4 linked regions of the Drosophila melanogaster genome follow. The protein of the gene in region 2 interacts with the protein of the main gene of each other region in a biochemical or structural test. Each region holds a gene or a part of one and is shown on either strand. Other genes may lie near its edges.

Region 1 (4,988 bases), on a different chromosome or scaffold from region 2:
GCGTTATTTATTAAAACGTACATTCATCATCGGTTAAATGGTAGTAAGTTGTGGCGAAGTATGAAGATGTCGAATGGGGATGTGACGCTGTGCTGGCTTCCACGGCTTCCATAGTAGGGGAAGGTTTCCCAGCAATACCGCCTAGTCCGCTACCACCAGCGGTACCCAAACAGGGTAAATTTCTCATTGCAATCACATTGTCTATAAAAAAGAAAATCAAAGGAGTAAAATTCGTATCAAGAAGTCAGTTTGTACTTGGAATTCATTTATAATAATAGTGGAATAGATCTTTAAATTTGAACCAACTTTGAACTTGCTTAAGTGTTTATAAAAATGTAACATATTTTAAGTACTAGTACTTGTAGAGTAAAAGGGTATACTAGATTCGTTCAAAAGTGTGTAACAGGTAGAAGGAAGCGTTTCGACCACATAAAGTATATATATTTTTGATCAGGATCAAAGCTAAGTCATTCTGGCCATGTCCGTCCGTATGAACGTCCAGATCTCATACAGAGGCATACAGAATACAGAATACCCACTCAAACGCACTAAAACCGCCCTAAACTGCCACACCCACACTTTCAAACCATTTTTAAATATTTTCTCATTTTATTCCCGCATATATATTTGCATTCCGTTTGCATTCCCACTAGCGAAGTGAAGGGTATCTGATAGTCGGAACTCGACTAAAGCATTCTCTTTTGTTTTATTTATTCTCTTTGTAATCTATCTATAATCTGAAATCTACTGCAAAAGTTGCCGAACACTCTGCAGATTTTTTGTCCTAGTCTCTAAAGAACATGCATTATTAAACACTCTGAATTCGGGAACTAAAATACTGCAAATTTTAAATTAGACCTGTGTTTGATCGAGAAACTCTACTATAACATTTTCTCTTATTTCAGTTAAGAAGTTGAGCCAGATTGCATAGGAATTAGAATTATTTCATTACATTGTTAGTTACATATTTTCTTACATATATCAGTTATATGTATTAATTAAATTCGGTATACTCTACTTTTTTTGGCAATATAAAATTTCAGGTCATAGTTCGATTCGAATTATTTTTTGTAATATATTATACCTGCAACGAATTGAAAAATCAGGATTACCTAATTGTTTTAATTAAACTGAAACCCAAAAACATAAGCTATGTATTTGGGTTATCATTTTATTGCGAGATAAAAGTGCAAAAAAATGTATTAAAAGTAATCAAACTAATTTCGATTTCAGCAGTAAGCCGCATAGTTTTAAACCTTGCAGGAAAAGACTTCGCAACTTGCGTGCAGAAGGTAGTCGTGAAGAATACAAACGGATAAATCATAGCTAGGTATACAACCAAATGGTTAAAGAATTCAACTAGAATATCACTTTTGACCTAAGCTATTACTTAAAAGAACTAGTTTAAAAAGTTCCCAGTATGAACGAATATATACCATAGACTACTTGGGCCGTTTATGGGGCTTTTAGAAGGAGGCGCTTAATCTTTTTCAGTTAGCGTTATGAGCTAAAACAGGAGAAAGAGAGCTATAGTCCGGTTTATTGACTATCAAATACCCGTAATTGGGCTGCATGTGTGAACGAGAAATTGCAATCTTTTGGCTCTTATAGTTCCTAAGAACTCGACGTCCATGCAGACGGACATGGCTAGACGGACATGGCTAGATTGACCGATTGACCATGATCAAGAATATATATACTTTAAATTTAAAAAATCTAATAACCCTTTAATCTATGAGTAACGAGTATACAAATTTGTATAAAACGAAAGAGTCAGCTAGTATGAAGTACTCAATAATCATATACGCGCGGGATAGCATGAGATACGCCCGTAGGAACGCCATTGATCATTAAACGCCTTTGCGTTGTAATTTACAATGTGAGTGAGTGACAATGGTTTAATATAAAATTAAGCTGCGTATGCATTACTGGAATTTGCATAATTCCTACTTATTTCGCTTCCAAAGGTCTCGACGTCAATACTGACGGACAGACATGCCAACGGTCATCGGAAAATCGACTAGCCGGGAACTCTTCCTTCCACTAACTACTTTAAATACAAATTAGCAACAAGCTACGGGTATAATACAAATATAGGTTTTTCGAATTATAAGAGTCACGGCGAAGATTTGAATATCTTTGATTTGGACAATTTATACGGAGTATAAAGCCGTCTTACTCTCGGGAGTTTGAGTTTGAGAGAAGAGTTCGCAAACGATTCAGTTCAGAAGCTTTTTATCTATTGGTAAACTGCGCCAAAAGAGACCAACAGCCGAACGAAACTGCACTCGCCTAGTAGGACCGGATCAACTGCCCATGGGCAGCATTAACATATGTGTTGGCTAAGACTCATATATATTTATAAGAGGGTCGGATAAAGACGATGATGCCAATCAAGAAATTTAAAAAATTCACTTACCCTTGTGAGCCATGTCTTCTAAAGACGGCAGGCGCTCTATCAATGTTCCCGCTGACCATGGGGGAACCACGGTGCCTATAGCAGTTGGAGTTGGTTGCAATGTAAACATAGTTGGATCTCAGTTTTTATTACATGCACTGCTCATGAAAGCTTTAGCCAAGAGACTGCTGTGTTCAGCCAAACGCACGCCGTGCGAACTCTTGCAGGGCGAGTCAAGCAAGAGTTAAGAGTAAATTTGCGCAGATGGTGAGAATGACGTCCTGCAGTGATCAAAAAACCTATTGTTGATCGCGCCGTGAGGACCTAAGAGTTACGAATTCGGAAACACAAATATAACTGAGCAGCCGCTTTTGTTTTAGTTCACTTGTTCATTTTTCGAACGCCACTTTTGATTGCACTCATGTTAGCATCATATTTGTACTGCACGTAACACGTATTATTCCCGGGTCTACCGATTGCTAACTTAGCCGGTAATTTCATTTGATATAAAGATTAATACGCACGGTGAATCGAACAACCTTTCTTAAACTTCGCGACACGGCGGCGGAACAGTATTTACCTTAGAAGCGCAACACGAAATAATAATGTCACGACCTGCCTACCCGGATCCGTTTCAGAAACAGACTAGGCCGACCCTCGGCTGGCCAGCACCCCCCTGCGCAAAAGGCTGGGTTTGTTGCCACGGAACCGCGTGCGATTGGCAAAGACCAGCATGGCTGGTCCACTCACCACCATTTGCTATAGGCTAGCCCCATGATTGGTTGTTGAAGCACACCAGTTGTCCCTCTCGCACCCGTGTAAGGTTAGTTGGCGGAAGATGAAAGCGATTCGGCACGGTGCAGTTCTGCAGCTGCGTTGTGTCGTTAAGCATATCGTGGCAACGGAATCTGAAAATAAAGGAAGAACCAACTCTAGACGGACCAGCAGCACATAATGGAATGGTTTGGTCCTGAACAGACATGAAAGTGCTGGTCTGGAACTGGATGTTGTTCCTTCCAGCAAGAAACTGTGTGTAAACGGTGCAGCGCCTGCCGCTTTCACCGCCTTTCGAGAAGTCGCCCAGTGCCACACCCCCCCCCCCCCCAGCAATTACACACATGTTGCATTCCATTTGAATTCAAGCTGGCCAGACAAGTTGCCAGCAGCACACTCGTCCAATGGAATTGTTTCATTCCGATACAATAAGCGCTTCACATTTCCGTTAACTACCCGCACGTTTCCGCTTCGGCAGTGCGAGCCTACACACACAGCCATATCGAGGGGAGCTGGGTGTGGGCGTACGGTTGTTTAGTAAAATGTCGACAAGCCTAAGCACGGTCACACCCACCAGCCACCATCCCATAAGCTGTCGTCACATGTGGAGGCTGGGTGGGCCCCAAAGAGGAAGTTCCTGTCCTGCTTTTGCGCCGCACAGCGAGAGAACGAGTTGCCAATAGCCTGAAAGGGACGGCCAGTGTTATGGCTAAAAGGCCATGTTTCAAAATCCTCTAGAGAAATATTAAAAAACTATAGCGCACCTACACGACTGTATGGGATAATGTCGATTTAAGTGCAATTCACAAAATTCAACAGCAATATCCGGCCAATTTTTCTGTTTCCAATACAATTGGGCTCTCCAATGCGAAGAGTTCTTCTCACACGGTTTATAACGTCCTTATGACTTCTGAAAAGTGAAATGTAATAATAATGCATATTACTTCTAAGTCACTTCCAGAATGTTTTTAATGTACCCTTGCAATAGTTCTACATTGTATTTATAATATTTAATTTTGTTCTGTCGAAATTTGTAGCAAATCTGAAAGAATTGGGGTTGAAATATTTGACATATTTTAAAAACATTAGCAATCACTAAACAATTTAACCAAGCCCGTTGACATTTTTATGAATAAAATGCACGCACGATCGATATCTGAATATATGTGAGAATGTTAGGCGCGCAACTGTTCTAAATACTTAACTTACTGGGCGTTTCATTGACTATAAAATGTTTGAACTTACTTTCGCACATGTAATTTTTATTATTACAGGTAAGACTGAATCATTTTCATTTGATCCGATTGCCATATCCCTTTATAATATTCAAGATTTAATATGCACAGATTACATCATAAAACGCCTAAAGGTGGAGGAAACAAATGTTTTTATTAGGCTACATGGTAGCACATGAAAGTATGTCCCCCGCAGGAAGCTGAATCAGCCCTGCTATCATCATATTATCTTCGCACTGGTGCTGAGGATGGAACGCAGCCCAAGCAATCGCCACGTGGCACGTGCCAACGACACGGCACATGCTCGTGGAGCAAAAAGTTGTTCCGTTTCGGCTTAGTCTGCTTCAGATGCAGACCGCCTCCGAGGGTTTCGACACCCATATATTAATAATAGCAAGAATCGCCAATAAAAAACTCTTCGTTTGGAGATTGGCTAGGTCGTCGATTCAGTAAGTGATCGAGATCTGGAATACATGTACTTACATATATATGCTGTTAACGGGATGGAAGTCTGGGTAGGCGGGTATCAATAATACATTTGCGGGCAAAATGTCTCCAAGGGTATATTAAGATATAGGCAC
Region 2 (4,558 bases):
AATATTTTTATAAGTCGCAATAAGCGAAAAATAAATAAAGCGAAGGAAACACTGAAAATACAGTCGAGCAAAGAGGCGGAGCCGCTCAAAAGCGAAAACTTAGATTGGGAGACAATTGGGGTGGTAATTGCGTCCGCTGGAATTTTCAATGAGCTCGGGGAACAGGGGTGCGGGGGACCTTGTGAGATATCAAACAATAACTCATACTATTCACAGAGCAGATAATGTGAATGAAGCCAGGCAAGTCGAGCAGCGAAAACATCATCGCAAATTTTAAAGGGATTATGGAAGGGAATCTTCTTCAAGCGCCAAGACAGACATGCTCGAGCATGCAAGCGTAATCGCGGATAGCGTGGAAAATCCAAAGATACCAACCGAAGTACAAAACAAAGTCTAAGAATGTCCACAAACCCAAAAAATACAAAACGGCGACAAACCACCATGCGAATTATCGCTTCCTTGCACTCTCACCAACCAAACCAAAAATAAAGAAGAAAAAAGTTGCCATGGCGTCTATTGTGATAATCAACAATAAAAAGGGGAGGCGCTGGGGGAAATCGGGCGATAAGAGTGCCCAGAAGAGGCAGAAATATGGCACGGCAACCAATAATAATAAATATTGCGCCTAGTATTACTAAACAACAGGGCGCATTTGCCCACGGCGCGTGTGTGATAACGATAACTCAAGCAAATTAAGCGATTGTCACAATAATCGATGAGTGCTATCACCACGGGAAGGGGCAATCAACCGGACATATTACCCATGATTCATTCGTGTGGTTGCTGAAGGTGCTTAGCTAAGCAAAAACTTATCCGATAACTTATATTTATCCGAATCCGATTTACACTGAAAACTGCCTGCATAACATAATATATCGAATTCACATGTTATCGACATCGAATTCAAACCTTTTGACACCTATAGGTGGGGATTTCGAAAGCCTAGTCACAAATAAAGCTAGTGCACGTCTGTAGTAACTATTTGGATGGCTAATAAAAAACTCACCTGTTTGACGTTTTCGCTTGCTGGTTGCTGCTGCAGCTACCGATGAAGTCGATGCGGATGTTGCAGGTTGCCTTAGGATATGCTGCTGTTGCTGCTGCTGCAGTTGTTGTTGTTGTTGTTCCTGGTGACGCGTCCCGTCCGTAGTTGCCGTTACCGTTTGATCGCCGTAGAAGGACGTCGCCCTGACTGAAAGTCCCGCTCCTAATCCCGAACAGAATCCGGATCCCCCGCCCCCGGCAACGGCGTAGTCAACGAAATCGGACGCTTTTGGGGGGTAGGACGTTTTCATTGGCGCATGCTATCCCGCTCGACGTGGTCGGCTGTCTCCCTTGCACTCAGTTGGCTTGCATTGGGGTTTTTGGGTTCCGTTCGCCTTTTTCCGGCCGCTTACAAACTTATGTTTACAAACTATGTTTGTACAAAACGTGGCGGCGAGTCACTGGCGAATTTCGAGTGACACCGTTTGAAATTTCACGTGAATTCAATATTTTAAGGCTTTTAAGTAAAATATTTTACGAAGAGGATATATTTACAAGAATATGCTTTTTTCAAGACAAATACAATTTATGCCAAATTAAAAGAGAATCTGCAAGTAGAGGGAGAACACAATAGCCATTAGCATGGTCGAATAAAATCACGTACCAAAAATATCATATCACCACACTCGCACACCTGCCCGGCATTCATACGTTTATATTTTAATTCGCTTTTGAAACTTTCCATTCAAATGTGTTGTCCAAATATTGACAGTGGAGACTAACTAGTGAACTAAATAACTTTATTTTGCTTTAAGTAATTTTGTAATGCCTTGGAAAGGCTTGTACAGCAACTTGGTAACTTTATGTTTCTTGCACGCAGAACTTCCTCATCTAGGCTCTACTGTAATTGTTTTGTTTTTTACTTGATTCCACTTTTAAACTACGCAAAAAGCGGCGTGAAAGAGAGCAAACTATAAAAACAAGACAAACACATTTCGGGTGTCGAAAAATGAAAACCACAAAAGAACGAAAAAAGCAAACAACAATAAAAACATTTGGGAGATACGCACTTGGCCCCGCACACAAACAACACGCACACTAGCGCACTTTTGGCCCACACGGATACACACCACGAAACCCTTTTCTACGCACTTTGCTGAAAATTCTACGAAGCCCCCTAAAATTAAACCTAATTGGCAACTTTCGTTGCCAAACCCAAAAAACAAATCCACAAAAAACAACAACAAATTAAAGCAAACACAAGCCGGTTCCAAAGTTATTAAATGGATTGCTCAGCGAGTGGAAAAGGGAGAGACAGTTTTGCTGAATGGATTTTCGTTCTGCAGCTGGCGAGTAAATGGATCCTACGGATACCCTTGCCTAATGTAAAATCGAAAAACGTAGCTCAAAAGGTTTTGATGGCCATTATCCGCACAATACCGATTAGTAACTTGATAAATTCACAGCTTTCATTACAGAGATGAACAGTGAGAATACATATTTCAGATGGGGCTTTGGGAAACACAATATCCCTTCGACAATTTACACGCACTCTCTAACTAACGTCTAATACGACGGCTCTTAGTTAACTACGTCGCCGAGAAGAGAAGAGGAAGACGGAGAAATCCGAAACCGGGCTAAAACAAGTTTCTGAAAGCGCTTCTTCTTGCCGCTGTTATTGTCCATCATCTCATTTTGGGTGTAGCCAAAATTAATATTTATGCTCGTTGATTTGTTTGCGGGAAAATTGCAAAACATAAAAGGTTTTCTTTCGTAATATTTCACCGCACAGCACCGCACTCGCACACACACTCACACACACACAAGCAGAGTTCACAAACACCTGCCAGCGAGTCCGGTGTTTATTTATGCATCTTAATTTGTTTTGCACCTTTTTCGCAGCAGCTTCGCCAGTCATATGTATATGCAGATATATATCTTGGCTTTCTGTAGCTGCCACTTCCTCGACGGCCGTGGCTGTATCTTCTGTGGCTGCAACGTCCGCTCGCGAAGCCGTTTGTGGAGACTCTGAATCGAAGAATTGAGGCACCGAAACTTTGTTGCCACAGAGCCGAAAAAAGAGAGCGGACACTCGCCGCTCTTCTCGGCTTCGGATTCTTCCAGGCGCCTGCGCAAGCCCGGTCTCCGCTCTTCCACTACCCACTTCCTGCCGCTCCAGAGAAGGGCTCCACCCCTCAAATTGCGACTTTTAGGGCTCTGCCCGGGGGACGAATCGCGAAATTATTTTTGCTTACTTTCTCTGTGGTTGTTGTTTTGGTTTTTCCTTCCCTTGCTACCCTATAATATCCTGGGTATCCTCTGCTTCGACCTTAACGTAAATGTTTAGGGATTTTCACTTACTATACTATACTATATAGTACTGTCTCTAAACTGGTCTTATCTGTACAAATTTATGATCCGGTATGAATAATTCCAGTAAGGGGTAATCCTTCGTCGGATAGCCGATTAAGTGCTTGATTGCTTACGTGGATGTCCCTGTTCGGGCGCCATCCAAAAGTGTGAGGGGCTCCATTTGACACGTAAGGATTTGCGTCGGCAGCAGAAAGCAGAAGGAAGGGGCGGAGAAAGCCAAAAGGGAGGCCAAGAACCGGCAAAGGGGCACCTTGTGAAATAGTTTTTTTTTTTTTTTGTTTTTTGTTGAGGTGGGTCGAGGAGAGGGGGTTGCGATGTGCGAATGGGCCAAAGTGGTTTAGTTGGGCAGCCGCCGGGTAAAAAGAGGCGCTGAGGAAAACTTGCGTCGTGGACAGACTTAATTACACACATATAGAACGAGATGGAAATGGCTGCGTGGATTGAACACATTTTTAGCCGAGCCAAAGAAAAGGTACGGGGGGTACTTTTCCACCAAAGGATCAAAAGAGAGCATATGGTTTCCAGCATGCTGAAAATAAGGAATGGAGAACAATTCTTAGGAAAACCTAGACTTGAAAAGCGCAACCAAACAAAAGGTAACTAAACTGGTGAATTCCCTATTACTCTTATGTAAATAAGCCAGCGCTTCAAAGAATTGCAATTTCCCCCAAGCACAAAAGTAAAGAGAAGGTAAGCCTTAAACATAATATTATATTTTTGTTTATAATTATGGTAGTTAAGCAACATTGTAATGGGCGGTGGCCTTTGTCATTAAATCTGGCATGGACTTTCGGGGTTTATGTAGCGCAGCAGGATGCGAGTTCGACAAGTCTGTGTCCCCGGGGGTTCCCCGCAGAAGACTTGCTTAACTGCAGCTTGAACGGGTTCTGCTTTCGGTGGCGACGTCAGCAGTCAGTCCTCTGGACTGTGCATCCACACCCTTCTTCTTTTCTGCAGCGACAACGCCACAATTCAATCAGCAATATGGTTGGCAGCCTGGGCATCAATTACAGGCCAATAAAGCTGGGTCCCCACTTACCCCCCACCTCCTAATCTCATTTTCCAACAGCTGTTGGGGGCGGAGACCTGTGGGAGGGACAGCTAACATATGGAAGCTTCGGGTTTTCATTTTTTCTCCCTGTAAGCTCTAATTGACAGCTGCCAAAGTGGGCGAGTGGGTTGGGGGAATGAGGGTTGCGCC
Region 3 (8,007 bases), on a different chromosome or scaffold from region 2:
GAGCGGCCCACGCACAAGCAGTTCGGATCCCCTGCCCCTGCTCATCATGCTTCGATCCCATGTACCCATATATGAACGTTCCCATTCCAAACACGACAGGATGAGGCAGTGAAGTATGCATTAAGGATAATAACACCGGCCCAGAAAGCAATGCGAGCAGCCAAAAACAGCGACAGCTGCAAAAATGTGCCCTGATCCTTATACTCGAAAAAAAATGAGAAGCGGAGCGGAGCGAAGCATGTGGCCAAAAGGGAAAACAAACGAGAAAAAATTGTGTGAGAAACTTACTTTCAGCTCGGTTCCCACGCCACGAGCCACAAGGATTGTCCTCCGTCCTACGAAGTTGCAGCTGTTCCTTGTGAAAAAGACAACAACACCGGCGTTTAGCCGTGCGAGCGAAAGAGAGGGCAGGAAAGGTGCGTATCAGAGGGTGGATTTCAGGGACCAGGGAGCGGTATAAAAGGACGGGACCTCGCAGAGCAGAATATCACTCACGATTACGCCGTCGAGCAGGCAGCAACAAGCCGAATACAAAATTTTTCAAAAATTTTTAAAACTACGTAACCTACTACCAAAACAAAAATGGAATACACCACCAAGACCCAGATCTACCAGAAGGTGAAGAAGCCAATGCTGGAGCGCCAGCGACGTGCCCGCATGAACAAGTGCCTGGACAACCTGAAAACACTTGTCGCCGAGCTACGAGGTGATGATGGCATCCTGCGCATGGACAAGGCCGAGATGCTCGAGTCAGCGGTGATCTTCATGCGCCAGCAAAAGACACCAAAGAAGGTGGCTCAGGAAGAACAATCCCTCCCCCTGGACAGCTTTAAGAATGGCTACATGAATGCCGTCAACGAGGTGTCACGTGTCATGGCCTCCACACCTGGCATGAGCGTCGACCTGGGCAAATCGGTGATGACTCACCTGGGACGCGTCTACAAGAACTTGCAGCAATTCCACGAAGCACAGTCCGCCGCCGACTTCATCCAGAACTCGATGGACTGCTCCTCAATGGACAAGGCTCCGCTCAGCCCCGCCTCCTCCGGATATCACAGCGACTGCGACAGCCCCGCCCCCTCGCCACAGCCCATGCAGCAGCCCTTGTGGCGCCCCTGGTAAAAACAAGGGGTTAAGTGGCAGGAAGGTAAGGGTGGAGTGGCAATGGGAATGGAAGAACCAACCAACAACGCATCTGTGATAGCCCAACTGTGATGGCAACAAAATAGCAAAATTAAAAAAGCAATTAGCAAAACAAATATAAACCAATTTAAACAAATATCAAAACAATTTACTTTATTGGGATGTTGGGAGGGGATCTAAGGGACCAATCCCTTAGTTGGTGGCAATTGGAATCCTTATTGGTAATTAAATTATTACCAATTAGGAAATATCAAATAATATATCTCTGCTCTGACAATGGAAATCTATTTTGGCAATGACCGAAGTGAAATCTATTTTATAATAATAAATATTTATTTATAAATATAAATAAATTATATTTATTTATTTATATCTATTTAATAATAAATTAAATATATTTCACTTAATTAAAATAAAAGTGTTTTAGAAAACTAGCACTGATAATTTTAAGTTTTTTGAATCGGTAATGTCCTTAACGGTTCACAAGATTGAAAATAGCAAATCAGACTGAATAATAATAAACTGAATAATTATTTATTCATTTTTAAAAAGCGCGCCAACTGCACCTGAAGAACATGTACAGATCTAAGTTACGTATTTATTGCGGAACTTTTTTCACTTTTTTTTCAAGATCATGGCAAAAAATGAGTGTTAGCATGGAATCTATTTAATTAGTTGTTCTGCAACCGTAGTGTTTGTAAATAAATAATTTAATACGTAATAGTTCTTTGAACATTAGGATTATTATTTCGCAGAGTGTAACTAGTTCGATTTCAGCGCAGGCACTTCCTAACACTGGCGCATGCAACACTGCGCCGCTGAAGCGAGTGGCCCGCGATAACAGACCCTCGACACATCGATAGGCGATAGCGCAAATTGCATACCTGAGACCGACGCGGTCTGTGTGTCGCGGATAGGAAAATAGGAAATTATAAATAGAAACGGGCCGTGCCGATGCCCCAAAAGCCACCCAATTGCCAGCTGCCCCAATCGGCGAGGATACCAAGTGCTACCGAGGTGAAAATCGGCGTGCCGAAATTGTTGCAAAAATATTTGAGACGAGAACGCCATTTACAAGCCGCGTTTGTACAGCGAGTGCGCGTGTAGTAGAGCCGGAGAGAGAGCCGCTGCGTGTGTGTGTGCCTGTGAGAGAGCGAGAGAGCGCCGCCGCCAAAGCTGCCCAACACATACACGAATGTTAGACACTTCGCGGTCGGTCGGCAGAAACAGGCAATTTTATACGGGCGAAAAGTTACAAAAAATAATTTTCCCACTTTTCGGTGGCGAAAACGAAGAAACTGTAAAAAATGGACCAGAGATTTAAGTGCAAAACATAGAAACATCTTGCGATAAAGCGTGCTAATCCGGGGCATAAAACTGGTACTGCCATTATCTCGCTTTTTTAATTGCTTTTGTTTATTTTTTGTATAGGACACAGTATAATTTTTCTTTTGCGCTGCGCGCGTGTGAGTGAGTGTGTGTGTGTGATTTGGCCACTCGCTGGTTTCTATGTATGTGCCCGTATCGCCGAACAGAGTTGCCGCCTCCAGGGCAAATCATAAAAAATATATTGGCTGTACAATTGAAAAATATTGAAAAGGGCCAAGCAAGTGAATTATATGCGGATAAGCGGAAAAATAACAAACAATAAACATCAAAGTAATGTGCAAACTGTGTTTCTGCTGCTGTGCGCGTTTCAAACGGCATGGCAACCCTGTTTAATTGCAGTCTGTCTGTATATGTTCGCATGTTGTTTGTGCGGAGTGTGCTGCCTTTACGAAAGAAAAGTGTTTTATTTTCATTGGATTAATCCCGCCCGGTTAACTGCACAATCGGATTAGTGCGTCCAGCGGCCCCCGAAAATCAAACAGTGATTTTGCGTAACAATTTCATGGGCCACATGCAACTGTGCGCTTGATTTTTCGGCGGTAAACACTCACACTCGTACCCTCGCTCCCGTTTCCTGTGCTAGTGTGCGTGTGTCTCGCTGGCTCAGCGCGCCTGTGTGTGTGCGTGTATGTACGTGCGTGCGAACGTATCGAAAAAAATGGTGCAAAAATATGAAAAAGCATAACTAAGCAAATATGTTGTTGTAAAATTCCATTCGCAGGATATGCAAAATGCGAAGTAGCCCGGACATGGAGTGCCACTAAGTGCCGGTTCCGTTTGTGGGAATACTAATAAAGCGGATCAACTGCCATCGAAAAATATTATTAAAAAAAAAAACAGAAGAAAAAGAATAGCTAAAAAACAAGTACCATAAAACGCTGGCAAACAGATAGATATTAGTCCACGTTTTGCAAGGAGTTTCTGTGCAGGAGTGGAGTGCTCAGGGATAACCGGAAGGAAGGAAGCGGCGTACGCAGCAGGAGGAGCAGCAGGACTTCCGCTCCGGCAAATCGGTGTCCACCTCGGAACTATCGCTCTTGCTCTAGCCGGCAACATACCAGCCTAACAACATGTATCCCTCACCGGTGCGCCACCCCGCCGCCGGGGTAAGTTCACCCGACAGTGGGTCCCACCTCTGACCCCCGAATCCGTGCTAATTGTGTTTATGTCTCTTTCCACCACGCCGCGCCATGTGCCGCCCACGTACGGAACACCAACCACCTCTATTCACATCTAAATAGGGACCACCACCTCAGGGTCCAATCAAGTTCACCATCGCCGATACACTGGAACGCATCAAGGAGGAGTTCAACTTCCTGCAGGCGCAGTACCACAGGCAAGTATCCGGTGGAATACTCTATACACGGCAATGTTTACATATGTAAACATTACGCGAATCATATTTACAAGGGATATACAAGGTTTATCATTATAATTGTGAATACAAGGCAAATCTTTACTATAAAGATTTGCAAGGAAATATTTGCCATCATAATGACACTCTCTGCAAATGTCATCTTTGTAATTGCTATGTCAAGAAAAAACTACATTGAATATTGGCCCTAAGAACTATTGGCCCACTAAAATTGCTATGATCGCAAATTTATGTCAGATAAAAGTAAAATTCTTCACACTTTCAAATAATCCAATGGCATAGTTTTCATGGGTTAAGCAATACGCAATTAGAGATTAGGCCCCAATAATTAAGTTGAGGTTAAACCTATTAGAAGCCTTTACAATAACATGCCCCAAAGAAATCACATTTTAAGCCTTAGCCTTAACCGCCATCGTATGGAAGTGTGCGAGTGTGAGTGTGGATGGATGCTGCGTCTGCGTTTTGCGAAAAGTAAAACAAAAAGCTGAGCAAACCGGTTTGGCGCGCCATATGCGCCGCTGTCATAGGATTAACCTGCGCCGCCCCAGCCGCAACTCAATGCTCCATGCTCCACAATCGCCGCTTCCTTGCGTTCTTGAATTCAGTTCGCTTCCGTCGTCCAACTAATTTGCCCGTTGATCACTTTTCCTGTGAATTCCAGCATTAAATTGGAGTGCGAGAAGCTGTCGAACGAGAAGACGGAGATGCAGCGCCATTATGTTATGGTAAGTCGTCATGATCCGCAAATTATCGAGATCCCTTAGCTAATGCCACGGCTTGCCTTCCAACTTTCAGTACTACGAGATGTCCTATGGCCTTAACGTGGAGATGCACAAGCAGACCGAGATCGCCAAGCGGCTGAACACACTGATCAACCAGCTACTTCCATTCCTTCAGGCCGACCACCAGCAGCAAGTGCTGCAGGCGGTGGAGCGGGCGAAGCAGGTGACCATGCAGGAGCTCAACCTGATCATTGGGGTAAGTCGATCGAGGACGGATGATGGATTCTGCGGCAGCAGCAATACGGTTTCAGCCATTCTCAGATAGACACTAATGGGGGCATGGCCGATTGGAAATTCGGTTGCCACACCGAAAAGGCAGAGAAATTTAGTTTGCCGGGTACTTTGTAATACAGTCTTTCAAAGAATAACAAATATCTTGAAAATTGTATAAAAAATAAGAAATCTAACGTATATATGAAACAGTACATATCATAAATGTGGCAACCGTTAAGTGGGAACTTCGTTTCGGTTTAGTTTGTTCCTTGGGCCGCATTTGATTTGAGTTTGTTTTTCTACTTCCTAATTTGTTATGATTTCGCATTCGACCAATCCAATCCAAACAACGTTGTGCAGCATCAGCAGCAACATGGAATTCAGCAACTTTTAGTAAGTTTGTTTCGTTGCAAGTTAATTTCTTATTGTTTGTTTACTGTTGCCGTCTGCCGCTGCATCCGCCGAATGTGCCACTGCCACAACTACAACAACAGCTCCAGTGCCTCACTACCTCCTCTTCCTTTTCTGATTGTCAACGTTTATATTATTTGAATAACGCTTCAAATGCCGCCAATTGTTGTTGCTGTTTCCATTAACCCCAGATGGTCTTTGCTTATGCTTATGAATCGAAAGATAAATAAATTAAATTTTGATACAAAATAAAAATATGGCAAATACCATTTAGTGTTAATGTCGTTGTTGTGTTTACACACATATGTACACACATTTCAATGCTTTCATATTCCCACTAAGCACGATGTTCATTATTCCGAAAGCCAGCAACGCGCACGCCCGATTTCATACGATCTCATGGTTCCATTGCAGCAACAGATCCACGCCCAGCAGGTGCCAGGTGGACCACCTCAGCCGATGGGCGCACTGAATCCGTTTGGCGCCCTGGGCGCCACCATGGGCCTGCCACACGGACCGCAAGGTCTGCTGAACAAACCGCCCGAACACCACAGGCCGGACATCAAGCCGACGGGTCTAGAGGGGCCAGCAGCCGCCGAGGAGCGATTGGTGAGTACCACGCCCTAGATCAAAATTCTGCATATTTCAAGCTAATTTTCATGCTGATCTTGCAGCGCAATTCGGTTTCGCCGGCCGATCGTGAGAAGTATCGCACACGCTCGCCGCTGGACATCGAGAACGACTCGAAGCGTCGAAAAGATGAGAAACTGCAAGTGAGTATCGAGCTTTTTTCAGTGTTAGCATTATACACTTGTAGTATCATAGATCATCGCGTTGATGGTGATTGCCATAACCGATTACTGTCATCTCATCTGAGCTGTTGCTGTCTCTCAACTCACCAGAAACTCAATTCCGTAGTTTACCCATTGTTGTTGTCTAATTCTGCTAACACTCTACCCCAAAATCATGCTAAACAAAACCTAAATTGCTAATTTTTAAGAGACAAAAAAAACATCACGATCTAATGGTGCCTGTTCCGGTTTTCAATTTCTAGTAGTTGGTTTAAGGTGTATCTCAACTTATAGAATTTTGTTTCTAATATTCCACAAATTGTAAAGCTAATGTGTAAATGTAAATTGGAGATGATTTATAATTATGACTGGTTTACTTTGTTTTAGATTATAAATTTTAATAGTAGTGTGGAACATGTGTAAACTATATACATTTTCTATGCTTTTAACTAGTTTTATTTCTTTGATTTTATTGTCTTACTTAAAAAAGGAACACTAATCGTAACTTCATGGTTTGTTTGCGTTTTTAAATTGTTAACCATGTAAAATGATGTGAAAACCAGAACAGGGCCTAAAATTTAGATACTAACTATTTCTATTGTGGTTGTTGTTATTGCTGTTGTTCGTTGTGGGTTTTTGTATGAATTTTGATTTATATTGTTTTTGTGTTTTTTTCAAAATTATTTCCAGGAGGATGAAGGCGAGAAAAGCGATCAAGATTTAGTCGTAGATGTTGCAAATGAAATGGTGAGTTGAGTGTCGGCCCAGATTCAATGCAACCACTCCCAAATTTCCCCAAAAAAAAAAAGAAACAAAAACCACACCTTTGCTATTACATTTATCATCAAATGCAAAAACAGTACTTAATGCATACATGTGCCTTGCAGGAATCCCACTCACCGCGTCCCAACGGCGAGCACGTGTCTATGGAGGTGCGCGATCGGGAAAGCTTGAATGGCGAGCGCCTGGAGAAGCCAAGCAGTAGTGGCATCAAGCAGGAACGGCCGCCCTCACGCTCCGGCTCCAGTTCGTCACGTTCCACACCCAGCCTCAAGACAAAAGATGTGAGCCAAATGTCAAATGTCGAACCCAGAAAGTGTTAGAGCTAATTGAATCTCGTTCATTTAGATGGAAAAGCCGGGTACACCGGGCGCCAAGGCACGCACACCGACACCGAACGCCGCTGCTCCGGCGCCAGGCGTTAATCCTAAACAAATGATGCCGCAGGGACCACCGCCAGCCGGATATCCGGGTGCACCGTATCAAAGGCCGGCCGATCCCTACCAGCGTCCACCGTCAGATCCAGCCTATGGACGACCGCCACCAATGCCGTACGATCCGCACGCCCATGTGCGAACCAATGGCATTCCACATCCCTCGGCCCTAACGGGTGGAAAGCCGTAAGTCATTTATGTCAATTTACGGTCCGAAAAGTAGACTATAGGAATTTTGTCGTGCATTGTTATTAAGTATTTAAAGTAATTCAATGCAACTGATTAAAATGCAAAGTGCAATGTAGTCGATTGGAGATGATAAATGTATGAATCGGCACAGATAGGAGTATATAATATCGCTATTTCTACGAACGTTAAACGTCTTATCACTAATTAAATGGTTACATTAATTAATAAACACATTTTGCCGTTGCAGTGCATACTCTTTCCATATGAACGGCGAGGGTAGTCTACAACCGGTGCCGTTCCCGCCGGACGCGTTGGTGGGTGTTGGAATTCCGCGGCACGCCCGTCAGATCAACACGCTGTCGCATGGAGAGGTCGTCTGTGCGGTAACCATCTCTAATCCCACAAAGTACGTGTACACGGGCGGCAAGGGCTGCGTCAAGGTATGGGACATCTCGCAACCGGGCAACAAGAATCCAGTTAGCCAGCTGGATTGTCTGCAG
Region 4 (4,866 bases), on a different chromosome or scaffold from region 2:
CAAAATGGTTTAGCCCACAGCTGATGAATTTTGTTCGCTATAAGCACATGCGACTGTAATACTGTAATCGCTTTTCGTTTCATTTCCCAAATCGATTAAGCGTTTTTTCTTCGCCATATCCGTCGAGTGGGCCACGCACTTGAATGGAGTACTGTGTTGGGATGGAGGGCGCGGGCGGAGCCTTTAATTGCATGTTGCCGCTTACTAATTAAATTCTGCACAGCAGCAGCGCCAGAAAAAAGCAAAGGCAGAAGCCAAGAAAAATGTGCAGCCAACTCGACTGCGAGTTCGGGAGACGGGGTACGAGAACAAGGTCCCCGGAGAAGACCAAGGAGCGATGGCAAAAGGGTGGCGTGGGTTGGAGTGCCACGTGCAAGTACACGAGTCCTTGAATGTGTGTGTGCGTAAGTGGATAGCATGGGGAGGGAATGGAGTTTCAAAGGATAGTGAGCAGCGGCCTACTCAAGGGGGTTTCGGGGTTGTACAGCAATTAGTTGAAAACTAAACTAAATACTTAATAGTGGTCGAATTAAAAGGCCACTTCCTAAATGGCTATGAACTGTTCACTACTGTCGTCCTAGATATTGACATTCCTCGACTTTCTGTGGCAAAAGTGATGGGAGTTCAATGAAGCCAACATGCATTAACGAGCTCCTCCCCTTTGGTGAAGTCCTCTCCTGCGCCTCTGAGAGCCTCACCAACGCGCTCTGCAAATCAAGTGTCAAAAAGAAATCTTCTTTCCTACTCCGTTTACTGCGTCAGCGGAAAAGTGTAAATTTCAAACTCCGAAGTAGAAGGGAGCGCTTTTTTTTTTGATGAATCGGATATAAGCACAGGCCGCTGGTGGTTGATGGCCCAACAAAAAAAAGATCATCAAGCATTACAAGTATGTAGATGTACACAAATTATTTGTCTGGGGTGGATGGATATAGTTGTTACCCTGTATTCTGCAGACAACCCACAAAGGGAATATCAGAAACAAATGACAAAAGCAAATACTTTATGTCAAATTTGCCAAATTTGTCAAAAACAAGCATCGCTCCCTCATTTAACGTTGGAGAGGGGTTGTTATTGTATTGCGATACGGGGATAATTGTTTCACAGATACAATGCGCTGTTGCATCCCCTTCATAGGGCCATGTATTCTGACTATTTATCCTAAATGTTCTAAACTCTAGAGCTACCATGACTTAATTGCGTCCATTGAAACGCAATATCATCTCTAATTTGATGAAATCGGATCCTGTATACAACTGCATTTGGACTGGGTATACAAAAGCCCAAAGTGGAACACTCTGATACACAGTTAACTTTGATGCTCTTTGCATACTCCCTGGAAGATGGGAAAGGGAAGAGTACCGCTGCTGGAAATACTTACTGGTTCGATTCTGGGCTGGCATGTAACTCATCTTGGTGATTGAGGCGCTTTACACCACACCTGCAAGAAAGAGACGGAGAGTATATGAGTAATGTGCTGGACAGTCAATAACATGGAGTTCGTGTGTGCTTCGGATGGAGACCACGGAACTCCACTAAATGGGGGCCCCGGAAAGAAGGGCTTGTTGTGTTTGCAGACTGCCAACAGACGCAGATATCGTCCGTTAGTCACTTATTCTAGTCGTTGGTCTTTTTTTTTAACTCATTTCCGCTTTGAGATGCCGAAGCATAATATGAAATATGCTGCGTATACAAACAAACGCACTAATACATTCTTACGCAGGTAGAACGGGTATTTGTGGGTATGTGTGTGTCTACCTGCCGAAGACTTTGGCCACGAACCTTGAGTTATTTAATTACTTTGTTTAGCACTCTTTCAAATCTCATGCACTCCAACAAAAAACAAAATGGATTTTTCACTTCTCTCGAAAAAGGCGCAGCGGAAAATGCGACCGACCAGCACGCTCGTTTAAACGGAACAGAATCCAGATGCGGAGAGCGCAAGCAAAGCAAGGCACTTGCAACACCGCGCGTGCGGAGTGCGGGAAAGGGACAGGGAAAGAGACTGGGAGAGAAAGTAAAGGGCCGCGGCAGTGCAGCATACAAATGCAGTGCTGCGCAGAGTTGCCACACATCCAAACGATTGTGCCTACACACACATACTCGCGTAGGCAGCTCAGAAAGAATCCCAACTCCATTTCAGTTGTCGATTAGATAAAACACCTAACGATAAGCCTGCCTCTAGATTCGAAGAAAACGATTTCCTGTCTGTGGCATTGTTTACATTCCAGCGAGCAACAAAACAAGCGCCCGATTTACGGGGGAGGAATACATAAAAATGCCGTTTGTGTGTATCCAGATCATACACACACACATACACAGGCGCACATCCAGCGAACCCCTGCCCACCCCCGCGCCGACTTGTTTGCCATGGCTTTCCAACTTTCATGGCACACAGAAACTTTGGCTTTCCAAACGGATTCACTACCGACTAACAGTACTCACCGCGTCCAAGGAATTTAAGTCTGCTTTAGAGCAGGATTTATTTATTTAAAACGCTATAAGAAACAAAATAACAGCGAATTGTCTGCTCGAGAAAAACTGTGTATATGGCGACGAAACCCAACTAGCGATGGCCTGCTGCTGTCCCGATAACTCGATGGGCCCTGTGCGATAGGCCAAAGGAATTTTTCAAATTTTTTTTGTTCTGAGAACACAAAAATCTCACGAAATTTGTATAGCATTTCATCCTTAAGAAACTCAATTCACAATATTTATAATTTAGCTAAGGCGAATTTATTTCTAGTTCATGTTATCATGTTATCTCGAACTCACCGTTTATCTTGTATAAACATTTACCAACACAAGCACCTGAGTGTACATGAGGGTGTATGACAACACAGGTACGACCAAAAACTATTGTTTTTGGGCGACGAATTAAAGAAATATCTATGACTTTACTATTACTTACCGCTTCGAAAGTAAATTTATCTGCTCAAAGGCAGGTTAACGCACTTTTGACGCACTTAGATATTTAAATTCGACAAAAATCCCCGACTATGAAAACTGTGTATATGAGCGCAGAACAGATAACCGATAACTCCTCTATCGCAGGTGGCTGCCAACTTGCTTCAAAATAGAAAGCGCACTTTTTAAATTTCCAAAAGTATTCAAACACTGGTCTTTAATTTCTTAATACATATTTAAGTTGGGCAAGCAATATTGGTTTATGCAGTCGTAGAAGTGGGTTCATCGGTTATGGTCACAGCAGCTGGCGGCGGATCGCCGGCCTTCCGTTGATCCCTAAAGAACATGACCCACGCGCTCTTATGGATCTCTATTCCATCACATAGGCCATACACCTGGGCAAATCCGAAATAGGCAGCAACAGCGGCGACACCGAAGAGAGGTACCATTATGACTAGTCCTCCCAGGCAGGCGAAGAACACCATGGACACAATGGTCAGGAGTGTGCCTAAAACGAGTCGATAAGAACGTGATCTCTGGTAAACACTACGGAACGCACCTTCTAGCACCAGCAAACCTGTAAAGGTCATAACCATGGTGGCTATTCCAAACCCAAATATTATAAGGAAGGGCAGCATGAATACAAGACCACCAGCTAGCAGGCAGATAGCAACGTGCGGATTCCGGGTGCACCAGGCCGCGGTGGCCTCCAGGAAATCATTTCCACCTAGCTCGGACATCACAAAATCTGCCAGGCGGCAGATTTGAAGCCCTGCAATATGGCAACGTTATAACAAAGGCAACTTTTGTTACGCGGTGTGATGCATAAAACAGGTTAACAACCGTACAGAGTAGTACATATATAAGTAACTAATTGTGGCAGTAAGCAATTAAGCGCTTTTACAGATAGTACTTCAACTAGTGGACATACATGACCTGTAGAGAGTCTGGAGCAAGCTCTCCAGGAACTGGTCGCCAGTCAGAACTCCTGCACTACGATCGCCTGGGCCATGTATCTTTACGTGCTCCGGTTTGCTCTCTGTTCCCGATCCCGCAGACTTCTTGGCGTTTGCCTCTTTGGCTGCTTTGCGAGCCTTGTTCGAGTGAGCCTGCAGAGTCGATCAAATCAAATCAGTTATGAATATTATGTGAGTCAAAGAACCCAAGTGATTAGATGCCGGCTGCCACTGAGTCCGTGAAACGCGACCTTTGACTTGCGATGCCGATTCCAGCCGAAATCTACGGATTCTTCCGAAGATGCCGGAACACCCACTTCACTCACACCCGTACCCACCATGTTGCGTGGCTACTGCGAGAATCTCAGGCGGTTGCTGTGCGCATTACAGGAGGAGTCTGTTCCAGGTTCATTCGCCTGCTTGAAGCAACAGTAAATGAAAACAATATAAATAAACAAAAAATAATCGACGTCGTAGCCCTGAAACTAAATCATCGAGGGAGAGCTGCCACCTTTTTTTTTACTAAATTTGAATTAGACAAGATGCGTTTCTTAATAATGATCTAGCGTGGCTTAGTTTTGCTTTTTAATCATAATTAATTTGTTTACAAAAAAAAAATTAACACTATGTTAAAAAAAAAATTATAAATTTATAATGGCGGTCAGCGTGCGACATTTCTTCGCCGTAGGATTAGTGAAGCAGGAATCTGAGTCCGTTAAACGGAGGACGCGCCGTAATCCTCTCCGCCACCAAGCGCTCCCCGTGAACAGTCATGCCGCAGCGCACCTTCTTGGCATGCAGAAAGTTCAGATCGGCGGCTCGCTCTCCACTTTTGAGCGGCAACCAGCCGTACACCTGCGACTCCAGGAGCGGAACAGCTTTTCCGAGCTGCCTCTGACGCTCCACATGCTTCTCAGGCCAAGTGTGCCGTAGGTACCTCAAGGTATCCGTCGGCTGGCGTTGCTCATACTGGGCGTAGAACTTCCGTGTTAGCGGATGAACTGGA

What was found.
Region 1: of the proteins of Hipk (region 2) and ey, one has a biochemical effect on the other in vitro, tested with the Drosophila melanogaster proteins (one study listed by BioGRID).
Region 3: of the proteins of Hipk (region 2) and gro, one has a biochemical effect on the other in vitro, tested with the Drosophila melanogaster proteins (4 studies listed by BioGRID).
Region 4: of the proteins of Hipk (region 2) and arm, one has a biochemical effect on the other in vitro, tested with the Drosophila melanogaster proteins (one study listed by BioGRID).

Annotation. Positions count from the first base shown.
Region 1 is NC_004353.4:702,705-707,692, reverse strand, and holds the start of ey (eyeless), read right to left. Parts: upstream 3,043-4,988; 5' UTR 2,529-3,042; coding exon 2,420-2,528; intron 265-2,419; exon of another isoform or gene 202-264; coding exon 22-201; intron 1-21. UniProt on the Drosophila melanogaster protein: Involved in eye morphogenesis.
Region 2 is NT_037436.4:544,516-549,073, reverse strand, and holds the start of Hipk (homeodomain interacting protein kinase), read right to left. Parts: upstream 3,016-4,558; 5' UTR 2,876-3,015; intron 1,593-2,875; 5' UTR 1,296-1,592; coding exon 1,007-1,295; intron 1-1,006.
Region 3 is NT_033777.3:26,039,742-26,047,748, forward strand, and holds the start of gro (groucho), read left to right. Parts: upstream 1-1,994; 5' UTR 1,995-2,160; intron 2,161-2,338; exon of another isoform or gene 2,339-2,523; intron 2,524-2,899; exon of another isoform or gene 2,900-3,071; intron 3,072-3,078; exon of another isoform or gene 3,079-3,162; intron 3,163-3,253; 5' UTR 3,254-3,602; coding exon 3,603-3,638; intron 3,639-3,773; coding exon 3,774-3,868; intron 3,869-4,568; coding exon 4,569-4,632; intron 4,633-4,702; coding exon 4,703-4,885; intron 4,886-5,262; coding exon 5,263-5,295; intron 5,296-5,727; coding exon 5,728-5,922; intron 5,923-5,987; coding exon 5,988-6,086; intron 6,087-6,794; coding exon 6,795-6,851; intron 6,852-6,991; coding exon 6,992-7,168; intron 7,169-7,232; coding exon 7,233-7,504; intron 7,505-7,754; coding exon 7,755-8,007. Other genes in the region: E(spl)m8-HLH (enhancer of split m8, helix-loop-helix), read left to right, coding at 583-1,122. UniProt on the Drosophila melanogaster protein: Transcriptional corepressor that regulates transcription when recruited to specific target DNA by hairy-related bHLH proteins. Maternally required for neurogenesis; in the segregation of the neuroectoderm. Directly or indirectly interacts with Notch and Delta.
Region 4 is NC_004354.4:1,897,602-1,902,467, forward strand, and holds the start of arm (armadillo), read right to left. Parts: upstream 3,046-4,866; 5' UTR 2,909-3,045; intron 2,573-2,908; exon of another isoform or gene 2,443-2,572; intron 2,010-2,442; exon of another isoform or gene 1,703-2,009; intron 1,439-1,702; 5' UTR 1,410-1,438; coding exon 1,379-1,409; intron 1-1,378. Other genes in the region: Ldaf1 (lipid droplet assembly factor 1), read right to left, coding at 3,165-3,412, 3,464-3,676, 3,836-4,013, 4,112-4,201; CG32801 (uncharacterized protein), read right to left, coding at 4,551-4,861. UniProt on the Drosophila melanogaster protein: Isoform neural may associate with CadN and participate in the transmission of developmental information. Can associate with alpha-catenin.